3 linked regions of the Xenopus tropicalis genome follow. The main gene of each other region encodes a partner of the protein of the gene in region 2 in a complex. Links are inferred from orthologs where the notes say so. Each region holds a gene or a part of one and is shown on either strand. Other genes may lie near its edges.

Region 1 (4,103 bases), on a different chromosome or scaffold from region 2:
CGCCGAGTTATTTGCAGTCAAAGTCTGTGGCAATACAAATCCAAGCGACCTGCCAGTATCCAGGAATGCAGTCTGCATAGTTCTCTGTCTGTTGTCCTCTGGGCTCTGGAGGCAAAAAGAATAGAAAATGTAGAGGGACAGAGAGAGGGAGAGAGAGAAAAGAGGCAGCTTTTGAATCAACAATACCATTTTCCGTGAAGTAATGGTTCTGTATAAAAGGAAATATCGCCTACTCAGTTTCATTCAGCTGTGCCAAAAATGTTAGAAATGAGTGGCCGCCAACTTGCAGCGGAGGATGCCAGACTGCGCTTAATAAACTGGCCCTATAGAAGTTCATTATCGATGGGGCAATCTCTGGGGCTATGAAAGGAGACCGCCTACGTCGTCCCATTCCTGTCTGATACTCCAGACACTGCCACTTGAAAAGACTGTCACTTGGGGGGGGGCAAATTTAGGTATTAAACTTGTATTTGTCCCTGAAGACTCCCAGAGAGCTGGATGTGGGAGCAGACACTTAACTACTGTTTCAGGTTCTGGGAGTTATATTTTAAAAGGCACTTTAAGAGTTTGAGTGGGAGGTGGGTGGGGGGCAAGTCCTAACCCCCCCTCTTTAGACAGTGCGCCCCGATGTTGCCCGGTCTTTGCTCAGAAGGTGCCCAGGGGGAGCCAGAGTGGGTAGGTCCTGCCCAACAAGGCTGAGTCTGGGAGAGGTCACGTCATTGTCCTGTGCGCACCCAGCAGCACCTATAGCAGCGCTTCCCACTCACATGCCCCACTCCTATAGCAGCGCTTCCCACTCACATGCCCCACTCCTATAGCAGCGCTTCCCACTCACATGCCCCACTCCTATAGCAGCGCTTCCCACTCACATGCCCCACTCCTATAGCAGCGCTTCCCACTCACATGCCCCACTCCTATAGCAGCGCTTCCCACTCACATGCCCCACTCCTATAGCAGCGCTTCCCACTCACATGCCCCACTCCCTGCTGCTGCCTCTGCTGCTGCACAAGTAGCCACACTGCTGCTCCATTTCCCCACCAGCTGCTGGACAAGTTTCACTCTCTCTCTGCTTGGGACTCAGCAAACACTCCTTGCTACATTCTCTCTAGGATCTACCTACCCACTGTTCATTGGAAAAGGTTTCCAGAAGGTGGAAAATGTCACCTGATTCACTCTGAATTTTTCTTTTTACCCCACCCCCAAACACACACACACATTAGGAGACCGCCCACCGCAGACAGCTAAGACCCCCTTATAGATTTAAAGAGAGACTGCATTAGAGGCTGCTGTTCATTCAATAGAGCGATCATAAGCAGAGTCCGGAGTTGTGCCTGGTCCATTATCCCATCTCTCCACTTGAGACTCTGCTGCTTCTCCACTCTCTGCACTGAGGATGTTAAATGAAAGGATCCAGCCGGGCATGATTTTCCTCCTGACTGTCTCTCTGTGCCATTTCATGGAACATCGCGCAGTCCAAGGTAAGAACCTGAAGGACTTGATCACTCTTTTTGGATTTTCTTTCATTTTTTTTGGTATTAGGGCAGACAGTAGGAGAGGCAAGTTAGGCTGGTGACTTAGATCAGACTTCACTTTTACATATCTGCAATATCAAGATGGTAGTTCTGGATTTTAAGGGCTACAGTCAACTTGGCTTCCAGATTTATTAATGTGTATATAAATGTATCGGCAGAGAGTGCTACTTTACTATCAGTGGTTACAGTTATGTAACGAATCTAGTGACTTATTAGGGACTTGCGAGGATGTCGGTATTTGTTTCGTACTACTCTAGTTGTACTCCAGCTGGTGGGACAGAAGTTGTGGTGGCAAGTCATTGGCTGCCAGCCCCCTACTATACGTAGCAGAGGCGCAGTCGGACCCAGCGGTGCGCAGAATTTCTTCCAACTGACGCAATCTGCCTTGTGCTAATTGCTGCCTACTTGCAGTGTTAGTTGGCGCAATTCCAAATGGAACTAGTTGTAGTGAGTTGTTTAGAACTATTGCTGTTCAGCTTATCCTTTCTCTTAACTTTAAAAAAGGGGTAACATAGCGTGGGATTGGGGAGAAAACACGTTTCGAAATGGATTAGTGTTGCATGTAGATGTTCTGAATGTGCCTGGATTGCAACATGAGGTTGGATCGCAGGCTTGACAACTGACGCACTTGATACTGTAATATTTCAATAAAGCAGGGGTTTTATGGGCTCGTTATCTCAACATCTGGATGGGAGGCTGTTCAACAGCGCGGCCAATTAACCCTTTGTGTAGCCTGGGTGGATATCTATAGAGTGGAAGCCCTGAAGGGGTTAACCGTGCAAGTGTGAGCGGTTTGGCTGGGGAGAGACTGCTGTTACTAGTGCAGGTTATGAAAGAGGCCGAATAAAAGTAAACAGTCTAGTGGAAGTGAGCGCAGAGCACACGTGTTGTGTCTGGGTCACTGCTAAGTGACACTGATATGGCTGGGCCGCTGTCTCTTACAGCTGGGAATTGCTGGCTGCAGCAGTCGAAGAACGGCCGATGTCAGGTTCTCTACAGGACTGAGCTGAGCAAGGAGGAATGCTGCAAGACTGGCAGGCTGGGTACCTCATGGACTGAAGAGGATGTACCCAACAGCACCCTCTTCAAATGGATGATATTTCATGGAGGGGCCCCTCACTGCGTCCCCTGCAAAGGTACTTTACTTGACAATTTTTACTACCATCTCCTCGTTTTGAAAATGAAAGGGTTAAATTCCTACATCTCTGTAAGCAAAGAAGTCGAGAGAAGTTTTTTTTTTTTTTAGTACTTTAACATACAGTCTCTACTGACACGTTGTAGGAATACATGATTTAACCATCCCTGTGTATGCTTGATGCGACCTGTGCTTCCATGAAACCATGAAGCTGCCATATGTATTTATATACCCGCATACTTGACATATTTTGAACTGCTTTTGGCATTATTTTTGTATAGGGGGACGCAGCCACACAGTCCATATGTGTGTATGTGTGTATGTGTGTGTGCAAGAATAATCTCACCCAGCTCAGACTTTAGGATACTGTGCTAGCAGATTCTGGCCACCTACACTTGCTTATTATGTGTTATTTTTCACGGAGGGATTTATTAAAGTGAAGGGGACATCTGCACTCAATTTTGAGTTCGCTTTCTGGAGGAACTTTTGTTCTCTCTCCATAGATACTGCATGCTGTTTTAGCTATTAGGCACAGAGGGGAAATACTTTTCTTGTACTAGTAAGTTCCCAGTGTCAGGAGCTTGTATGAATCTGGCATATCTATCTATCATCTATCTATTTATCATCTATATTAGATACCATAACACCCCAGATGATCTTTATGTAATGGCACAGGCACATTAGTCCCTGAAAGTCTAGACATGCTGCTGAGATATGGGGCTATTTATCACATTCCTAGTAATACTATTTCTTGAGTACTTTGCCCACTGGCTAATTAAACCTGTTGCACTTACAGAAACATGTGAGAACGTAGACTGTGGCCCTGGGAAGAAATGTAAAATGAACAAGAAGAACAAGCCGAGGTGTGTCTGCGCTCCGGATTGTTCCAACATTACTTGGAAAGGTTCCGTGTGCGGAATAGATGGCAAAACCTATAAGGATGAGTGCGCTTTGCTCAAAGCCAAATGTAAAGGGGTCCCGGAGCTGGATGTGCAGTACCAAGGAAAATGCAAAAGTAGGTTAAACAAGTGGGGGGAGTTAGGGATCTGTGGGCTGGGAGGGACAGCCACATTAGATTGCTGTGATGTTACCTGAACCTCATGGGTGGGCAGCATGGAAAAGAAAGCTCTCATTGGGTGGCTTTTAGTAGCCTGAGAAGCTTTTTTGGTGCGCATTGGCTTGGGAGTTGCAAAACTTTATGTGATATAATACGGGTCCCATAAAGTACATAGTATATGGAGTAAATAAGAGCAATTTATTATGACCTTACGCTTAGCTGTGCCCCAGTAGTGCTGTAAGTCCATCTGTCATTCATTGCGCCTTTATACTGATCGATGTGCGCCCTTGCGCTTCTTTCTCTTTCAGAAACTTGCAGGGACGTGCTGTGCCCAGGGAGCTCCACTTGTGTGGTGGATCAGACCAATAACGCCTACTGT
Region 2 (3,941 bases):
TCCTACTGTAACCATCCAACCCACAGAATGAATCTGGCTGTTGAGACCAAACAAAGTCTGGCCATGCAGCAGCCTGCAGAGCTTGTTAGAATAGACTAGGGTAATGGAATGCACAGACACATGACATCACGTGCCAGCAGTCAGAGCAGACCTATTTGTTGAACAGGGCATTATCAATCACTTTATTAACCCAATTTAACAGCTCAAGCTTGGCACTGAAAATGATGACAAATAATGACTACCTTTGCTGGTTTCAAACTTTTGCTGAATGAGCCAATTTTCTCCCCCTAAACTGACTTGCATAAACTGTTATACCTGTACAGGTTTGTTTGTGCAGCTACTGCAACAGTTCAGACCTATTAGAACTGAACAAGGAGATAAATAGACAGACAGACTTTGGCTTTGGGTGACACAAAAGCAACTTTTCAAAAACTGTGCCTTGCAGTGTTTAGAGAATTATAACTATAACATACATTTATAATCTATATATATATAGATATATCTAGTTGACCGAATGTGCCAAATAACAAATTAACAATGCAGCTGGTTATTATACTGAGTGGAATTTGCATTCTTTTTTAAGGCATAACCATTTTTCTATCCACAGCCTGGATGATAGGAGCAGAAGCATGAATAGGACCCAGGCTGTATATGGCTAAGTGGGGTTTACCTCACAACTGCCAGCCTCATGGAAGAGAACAGATAATGCAGTACTACACTGTATTCTCAGAGGCAGCAAATCGCTGGCAGGAATGTCTGATCTGGGAGCATGCACACTTCTGCAAGGCTTTCCTGCAGACAGAACATCTGAGTCAACAGGTTTTCAAGACTGGAAACTCTGAGCGCTGTCTTAATTGTTTATATTCCTGCAGCACATTTTAAACAAAATTGCTTCGAGTTCCCGCACATACTTTGCTTACGATATGCTGCACTAAACAATGGCATTCTTTTCCAACTGGCTCAGTGACCAGATAAAATGCTATTATAAGAGGGCTTCTTTTAAAGTTACTGCTAGCAATAGCTGCAGGGGGAAAAGAAAAAGAAAGGAAGGAAGAAAGGAAGAAGAAGTCTGAGTTTTGACAGCTCCACAGCTTAAGAGCTGCTGTAGTTTGTTTGCAGCAACAGTTTTCAACACAGTCTGCGGAACATGCTGAACTATTTTATTCTTATGAATGGGAGACAGGAGCTGTGTCAAAACATACTCAATCAAGACTGGGTTTCACCGGTGGCGTTCAGAGGGCTTTTACAAGAATCTTGCTTACAGAAGACAGATAAAAGTTGTGCCTCCACATTTTGCTCTGGCTTACTCTAAAAGGTAAGCAACATGCTTATATGGGGTGGGGGGAGATCTCTCAAACATTTTTCTGCTGTGAAACCGATAAATCTGCAAGTTTGCCCGTTCCAGCTGTAAGCTGCTTAGCAATACAAGTGCACTGCAGCAGCAGCAGTCAGCCCCTGACTCTGGCAAAGGAGCCAGTGAAGCTTTGCAAGGCAGGCTGTGGCTGGACTCTTTGGTGGTAAATGGGTGGAATTGAATCTTAAAGCGTCACGCATAAGCCACTACCTTCCTCTATTCAGATGCCTTTAATGATCATAACAGCTGACTTATAACCTTTTGACCAAATCTTTGGCAGTAATTATTTTTTACACTTCTAAGTGATTACTGAGCTATCAGCCTAATGATAAAAGCATATCCCCCAGTCCTTTATGGATTGTTTCACACTCTCTGCCTGCCTTCTTTTTTTTTTGCTTTTTCTATAGTTTTGGAGAGTGCCCATCCCCCTCAAGCACTTGTACTCTGTGTTAAAGATTGCCCAGAGATAGCTCATTCACTGTGAATTTAGCAAGTGCAAACAAGCATTCTGTGGCCAAGGTTAAATCTCAGGAAGAAAAAAAAACACATACACAAATTATTGCATTCTCCCTAGCTCCTCCTGCATGTTGTGATATTTTAGCCATAATTCCCTTTTGTTTATGAGCAGCACATATCCAATGTATGGTATTTAAAGGCTACTTTACTGTCTCACAAACTCACCTGATTCAGCAAAAGTGATGATTTCTGAAGTTTGCTCAGAGATTTCATTCATTTCTGCTCTTCCTGCAATGACATCCTCAATTTGAACTTGCCCATCGTCTCCCACTTTTCCCACATGTAGTTTCTTAATGGCATTCAAGAGAGCTGCTTTAGGCACTGTCTGTGTGATGTTTGGTCTGTCTCTTAAATGCAGCATATTCAATATGTGCTTCTTAACTGCCTCCACCATGTCACTCTGAGAACTGGGCACATCCTTTTGAAATCTTGCAAGGGCACAAGATGGACAGTCATTCACTGAGCTGTGCCCCTCAGATCCTGGAGTTGGGGAACTCCTCACTATAATCCAGCAAAGTACCAAACAAACTCCTTTCAGCAAGCGTGCAGGCATCCTGTCACCAGGTGATGATTCTTTCCCCCAAAACACTCAGCTTTTCTTTCTTTTATTTGCCTTTTCTGTCTCTATCTCTTCTTGTTTTGTGGAGAAAGTTAATTCCTTGAAATATACAGTATCTCTTTTCCTCCTTGAGAAAATTCTCAGAGACAAGCAAAAAGTTTCTCTTTTTCAGTAAAGTTTGGATTTGCAGTTTCTCTCTCTCTCTCCCTCTCCCTCTCCCTGGTTTAAGTGCTGTGGGTATTTGTGGCTGTCAGTGTGAAACGCTCTGACTTCTGTCTCTGCCTTTTGAGAGAGAGAGAGTGAAAGAGAGTAGAGACAGAGAGGACGGACTAGCCTGAAGTGAGTGAGTGAATGAGAGAGGGTGGGAGTTTGTCTACAGTATGAGTAAGGACTTCATTAGGGAAGGGGGAGGAACAGATTCTGACAGGCTGCTTTTGCTTAGTTCATACTAACACACACCTCTTCATATATCCCAAAGCTCATGCTTTTTGCTGCCCCCTCCCTTTAATCAGTCTTCTTTCTTTCTTTCTTTCTTTCTTTCTTTCTTTCTTTCTTTCTTTCTTTCTTTCTCTTTCTTTCTTTCTTTCTTTCTCTTCTGTCACTTTATCCATCTCTGTTCACCACTTTAACAGAATCACCCCTTTCTCCCTTTTCTAGCTCCTATTCCTCTCATATACAGACAGCCTCAGTATCCCATGTTGTCTCTCACTGACTGTGTTGGATTCTTTCTAATTTTCAGCTTACATTCTTCTGACATCTACTAAAGGCACAACATCATTTATACTGATATCTCTTTGCATTTGCCTCTGATCTGTAATAAACTATTCATTGTGCCAGAACAAGTTGTTGCACACACAAACTTTCTTTCCTGTAACTGGCATGTGCACTTTATCCTTCCATAGAGCAGGCATAGGCAATCTTCAGCCCTTCAGATATTGTGGGACTGTAGCTCTCAGAATGCCACTGAGAGCCAAAAACAAAGTTGGATAGGAGCAGATAGATAGAAGATAAATCTTTTACCTACACACTAGTATGTAACCCTTTCTGCTTATTGCAGCTATGATGGCAAATTAATATATATAAATATTACAATGATAAAAGGCTCTAATGACATTTAGAACAAAGTCCTGCGACTCAAATCAGTGAGCAACTCCACATACTACAGTCTGGGACTCTGTACTCCGCAACGAGTGATTCAGCACCATTGAATAGAGGAAAAACTTTTTTGCATCACTAACTGACTGTTTCTTTTACATTCCCCCTGAGGAGAAAGCAGATAGCCGGTGTCCCTTCTGACTTGGCTCCTTGCGGCAAGTTTTAGACAAAGATTGAGGCACTTAAGATCTGAACGCTGCTTATTTTGCCAGTGGAGTCCAATCAGCAGTGAGATATCAGGGAGCTAAAACAAAATCTGAAACAGGGTCTAAAATTGACAATGATACATACAGTGTAGAATTAATAGTGATTCTGTTGCATGTAAGAGAATGTATATTTTTTTTCTCAGAGTAAATT
Region 3 (4,274 bases), on a different chromosome or scaffold from region 2:
TTAGAACTGACTTTGGCTAGTTTGGAAAAATAAACATGGCAACCCTGCCCTGCACTATGTATTCCCACTTAATACTCAGGAACGTCCAGAAAAATAATAAAAGACGCCTAAATATTATAATAATTGTTAGTATAAACATGAAGCACGGAGACTACATTCCACCCGATGTAAAGCAGCTCCCAGTACCCTCCAATGCGAGGTTGAGAGCTGTAGTTCGGCAACAGTAACTGTACTTCAGCTCCTGCAAAGCTCAACGGCTAGTATTGCTCCTGACCAACACTAAAATAACACATTCACTTTGTCCCAAATAACACTACTTTCTCGCCCCACCCCGCTCCCTTCGCGTCACTTCCGGAAACCCGCCCACTGCGTTTTGCCCACTCCTTATTGGCCAAAGCGCAGTTTCGGGACGACGTCCCACGCCGCGGCGCTATTGGCTCCGCTATCCGCCAGTCACAGTGGGCGGTGCCGGGTTCTCTCAGGGCTGGCTGAGGGAGGGAAGGCGAGAAAACAAAAACAATCGGTGCGGGGGCCGCCATCTTGGGCCAGAGGGGGGGCAGCAATCCGCGCTGCTGAATGGGGAGAGATGAGATTAGCCCGGGAGGTGGCGGACGTTCAGACACGTTGCGCTGGAGCTGGCGGAGGGAGTAAAGGCGGGCAGTTACCGTCACGGAGCGGCTCCTTGCCGAGGCGTGAGTGAGGGACAGACCGACCGACTCTCTCATTCCTTGGGCGCTTGTACCGTAACGCCCGTGTTTGTATTGGATCCCGGGAAGCGGGGGGCTCGGATATATCCCCTCATCCCTGGCCATGGGAACTTCATGGGCACTTGGGTACCAGCTGGGCTAACCTTTCATTCTACCAGCCCTTTCCTATTAGTATTCCTGGGGCACCACCACTGGCACAGCTCAGGGGGGGCGAAATCCCTCATACCCCCCAAGTCTGGCACACCTGCCCCATCCCACCCTTTCCTGGCTGACCCTCATACCCCCCCATCTCTTCTCCCCATGGACACGTCCTGCTCTTCCTAAAGGTTCCACTTGGCTATCCGTAGCATTATATGGGGGACACCCTATGAACTCCTGTTCCCTGTGGTATAAACCCCCCCTAAAGTTTCTCTTTGGACTGGTCCATCTCTGCTCTCTGGGATAGATCCTAAAGATTCCTAATGGACGTCAGCTCTGCACTCTGGGGTAGATCCTAAAGATTCCTAATGGACGTCAGCTCTGCACTCTGGGGTAGATCCTAAAGATTCCTAATGGATGTCAGCTCTGCACTCTGGGGTAGATCCTAAAGATTCCTAATGGACGTCAACTCTGGGGTAGATCCTAAAGATTCCTAATGGACGTCAACTCTGGGGTAGATCCTAAAGATTCCTAAAGGACGTCAACTCTGGAGTAGATCCTAAAGATTCCTAAAGGACGTCAACTCTGCACTCTGGGGTAGATCCTGATGGACTGGTCCAACTCTGCACTCTGGGGTAGATCATCATCTCTATTAGGGTAGATTGTAAAGCTTCTCACTGGACATCGTTTCTACTCTCTGGGATTTATGCTAAGATTTCTCCATGGACACGAACAGCTTTCTCTGGGTTGGATCCTAAACAGACATATCCAGCATTCTCTGGGACAGAGCCTAAAGGTTCTTGGCTATATACATCTCTCTGGGGAACATCCTAAATATTCTTCATGGTCATATATAGATTTCTCTGGGATACATCCTAAAAGTTTGCCATTGATATTAACTGTTTAGATCCCTCCCCAGACTTCTTGATTTGTGATTCTCCCTTTATTATAATCTAGTTTTACTCTGGGATATATCTTTAAACCCCCCCCCCCCTCCCTCAGGCTTTCTGCTTTCTCTGGGATCGATCCTAAAGGCTTTCCATGGATATATGCTTTATCTGGGATAAATCCTTATTGCTTTATCTGGAATGGGCATAAACTGTTTTCTCTCGGATTGTTTCTAAAAAGATCTTTGCGGACGCCTGCTGCTTCCTCTGGGATAGGTCATTGGATTGTTAAAAAGGAACACAAACTGTAAAGGAAAAAACATGGGAGCTGCTACCAAGCTGGCCTTTGCAGTCTTTCTTATCTCCTGTTCCTCAGGTAAGACAGTCTCACACGTGTTTGTGGTTGGTCTAATAAAATGGCTGATACGCCAGTTAAATGTCAAATCCTTACGGGGATGTCTGTGTGTATGCACCGATTGCTTTGAACACAATCTGGCATTGTAAAAGTGACACTTTTAGCTGCCAGTTACCGCAGATGAGTTAGCATTATATTGGTTAGATCTGCAGTTACCTACGTAGTATCAGTTCACTTTAAACTACCTTTCATCTGTATCACGCAAGTCTCTTTAGTTTTATCATCATGGCAGTCTCCATAATCTGATTTTATTTCTTTCAAGTCGTTTTTGTGTATCTAGCTGTAAACGGCCTGCCTTTCTTTAAGGGGGAAACTAGGTAACACGAGAATCTTTAAACAAAATTTGCACTGTATGGGCAAGGTGTCTGCTCCGGGCACGGAATGGCAAGGCTGCAACTCGCCCGTAGCTAGTTGCGGGGTTGCAGAATGCTTAGCATTGCAGAATAATTTGCAAAGTAAGTGGTTTAGGCAGGTGGCAAGCCCTATACAGTTCGGCTCACTGATAGATGCATTGCCATGGCTGCTTTGTGCACACATCGCTGCAGGATTTCTTGCTATAGTTGTGTGATAATCAATCAACATCCACTCAGCCCTATGTACGCATTAATATTCCCATTGCAAGGTTTGTTCATTGCACTGTAGCTTTATTTGCTTTAAGCGAGTCGTCCCAATTAAATCTTGTATATAGGTGGGGGACAATGGATGACCTTCTTTATGTGCGACATTGGTTTTTAGGCATTAACTTATATGAACTGCAAAAAAAAAAAACCCTCTGGAATACAACAGTCTAGTGTATAACTAGATTTTATCTAGAAAAGCCTGGGGTGGTTAACCTAATAAGTGCCAGGGATTCTTTAAGGATATTTCCATTGATTGTGAAGCCATCTATCAAAAAGCATTAAATTCTTTCATTGCCAAAGGGGCAAACAAGCCTGTTCCAAGTCTGTCTGGCAGCAAAAGGATTAACTGGCTCCAGTGCCCTTCTGGACAGGCATACATAGTGTTTTTTTGGAGCAACCCTTGGGCTTTTTCAGCCTCTCAGACTTCCATAATCCTCGCAGATTTCCATTTTATTAAGAGGAGTGTGCTTTATCCAGCGCTGTCATTCAGCTGCTGACATTTACCTGAATTTGTATGTATCGCCCAGTCGCAGGCTCCTTTTATTTAACCAAGCACGAACTGAATCCCACTGTCTTTGCTTCAAGAGCTTTTACAGTTTAAACTGCTCGCGTCTTGGAACCGGTCAGATTCACGCTTAGACGGGAAGCTGCATTGATTTCCTCATTTATTTTCCCCCATTGTGTTGCGGACCTGTCAGGGTTTATGCCAACTTAGCAAATGGTGTGTTGCGCTTTGGAAAATCTGCTCACTTGTCCAGAGCTGAGCAATGAAAGGCCGTGTTGTTTGCGAACAGAAGAAACGTGAATGCTTAATGTCTGATTTATCTGTTCCTTCCAGCCAGTGGAACGTGTTCTGGTTCATTGGTGCAGAGTACGCTATAGAGTCGGACCATTCTCCGGCCTTTCAGATTTGATTTCACTCTCCAGTTGCTCCTGAGTTGCTTCGGTATTGTTCCCCAAAGTCAGACATTCAGCTTTATTTATAAAGCTTTCAGGTCTTCAAGGGCTCTGCTGAATGGATCTTTTTCCTTGTGGTTATTAAATAGGGGGAGAGTCTAGCCCTATGTCTGTAGTGGTATTGATTCAATGTGGGCAGATTGTGCTGTGAAATTGCATTTTCTGCCCAAGATTAACTCGATAAAAGACCAAATGCCACTTTTAAAAAATGTAATCACAAACATTTCGTCGTTCAATTTCGTTTTAAAGTATCACGTTGCTAAAGCTTATCAAAGGGTCACGTTTCAGATCTGTAAGATCTCGTAGTAATTAAGGGGAAAGACTTAAAGCAAATTAAACCTGAAATAAAGATGTAAACATTGGTAAGAGTTCTTCTCTGAAATATTGTGTGTTTTACATTTTTCATGTTTTAGTGGTTTCTTAGAAGCTTGCAGTTTTAGATTGCTAATATGAGAAGCTCTTTTAGGGTTAATTTATGGTTAACTGGCTCTGCAGGTGGCACATTGAAAGTCAGTGACCATAGCTAAGAGAGCTGCTGAACCATTAAAAT

Evidence for each region.
Region 1: the proteins of inhba (region 2) and fst are in contact, whole or in part, in a crystal structure (PDB 2P6A), measured with the Homo sapiens proteins. The link is inferred for Xenopus tropicalis from reciprocal best matches to the Homo sapiens genes INHBA and FST. Residues at the interface, in NP_002183.1 of Homo sapiens: Asp315, Phe327, Asp337, Trp338, Ile340, Ala341, Gly344, Tyr345, His346, Gly360, Thr361, Gly363, Phe368, Thr371, Arg397, Ser400, Leu402, Tyr404, Asp405, Asp406, Gly407, Gln408, Asn409, Ile410, Ile411, Lys412; in NP_037541.1 of Homo sapiens: Trp33, Arg35, Val44, Leu45, Arg60, Phe76, Met79, Asp135, Glu152, Pro154, Glu155, Val180, Val181, Asp182, Gln183, Tyr188, Val190, Arg221, Thr224, Cys225, Arg229, Ser230, Ile231, Gly232, Leu233, Glu328.
Region 3: the proteins of inhba (region 2) and acvr2a are in contact, whole or in part, in a crystal structure (PDB 7U5P), measured with the Homo sapiens proteins. The link is inferred for Xenopus tropicalis from reciprocal best matches to the Homo sapiens genes INHBA and ACVR2A. Residues at the interface, in NP_002183.1 of Homo sapiens: Ile340, Ala341, Pro342, His346, Arg397, Pro398, Met399, Ser400, Met401, Leu402, Tyr404, Asn409, Ile410, Ile411, Lys412, Asp414, Glu421; in NP_001265508.1 of Homo sapiens: Asn36, Asp53, Lys56, Phe61, Thr63, Lys65, Val74, Lys75, Cys78, Trp79, Leu80, Asp81, Asp82, Ile83, Asn84, Val100, Phe102.

The regions. Positions count from the first base shown.
Region 1 is NC_030677.2:192,428,120-192,432,222, reverse strand, and holds the start of fst (follistatin), read left to right. Parts: upstream 1-1,303; 5' UTR 1,304-1,393; coding exon 1,394-1,478; intron 1,479-2,476; coding exon 2,477-2,668; intron 2,669-3,463; coding exon 3,464-3,682; intron 3,683-4,032; coding exon 4,033-4,103. UniProt on the Homo sapiens protein: Multifunctional regulatory protein whose primary function is to antagonize members of the transforming growth factor beta (TGF-beta) superfamily including activin, myostatin, GDF11 or bone morphogenetic proteins (BMPs).
Region 2 is NC_030682.2:57,853,809-57,857,749, reverse strand, and holds the start of inhba (inhibin beta A chain), read right to left. Parts: upstream 2,801-3,941; 5' UTR 2,424-2,800; coding exon 2,036-2,423; intron 1-2,035. UniProt on the Homo sapiens protein: Inhibins/activins are involved in regulating a number of diverse functions such as hypothalamic and pituitary hormone secretion, gonadal hormone secretion, germ cell development and maturation, erythroid differentiation, insulin secretion, nerve cell survival, embryonic axial development or bone growth, depending on their subunit composition.
Region 3 is NC_030685.2:77,286,281-77,290,554, reverse strand, and holds the start of acvr2a (activin receptor type-2A), read left to right. Parts: upstream 1-1,474; 5' UTR 1,475-2,053; coding exon 2,054-2,108; intron 2,109-4,274. UniProt on the Homo sapiens protein: On ligand binding, forms a receptor complex consisting of two type II and two type I transmembrane serine/threonine kinases.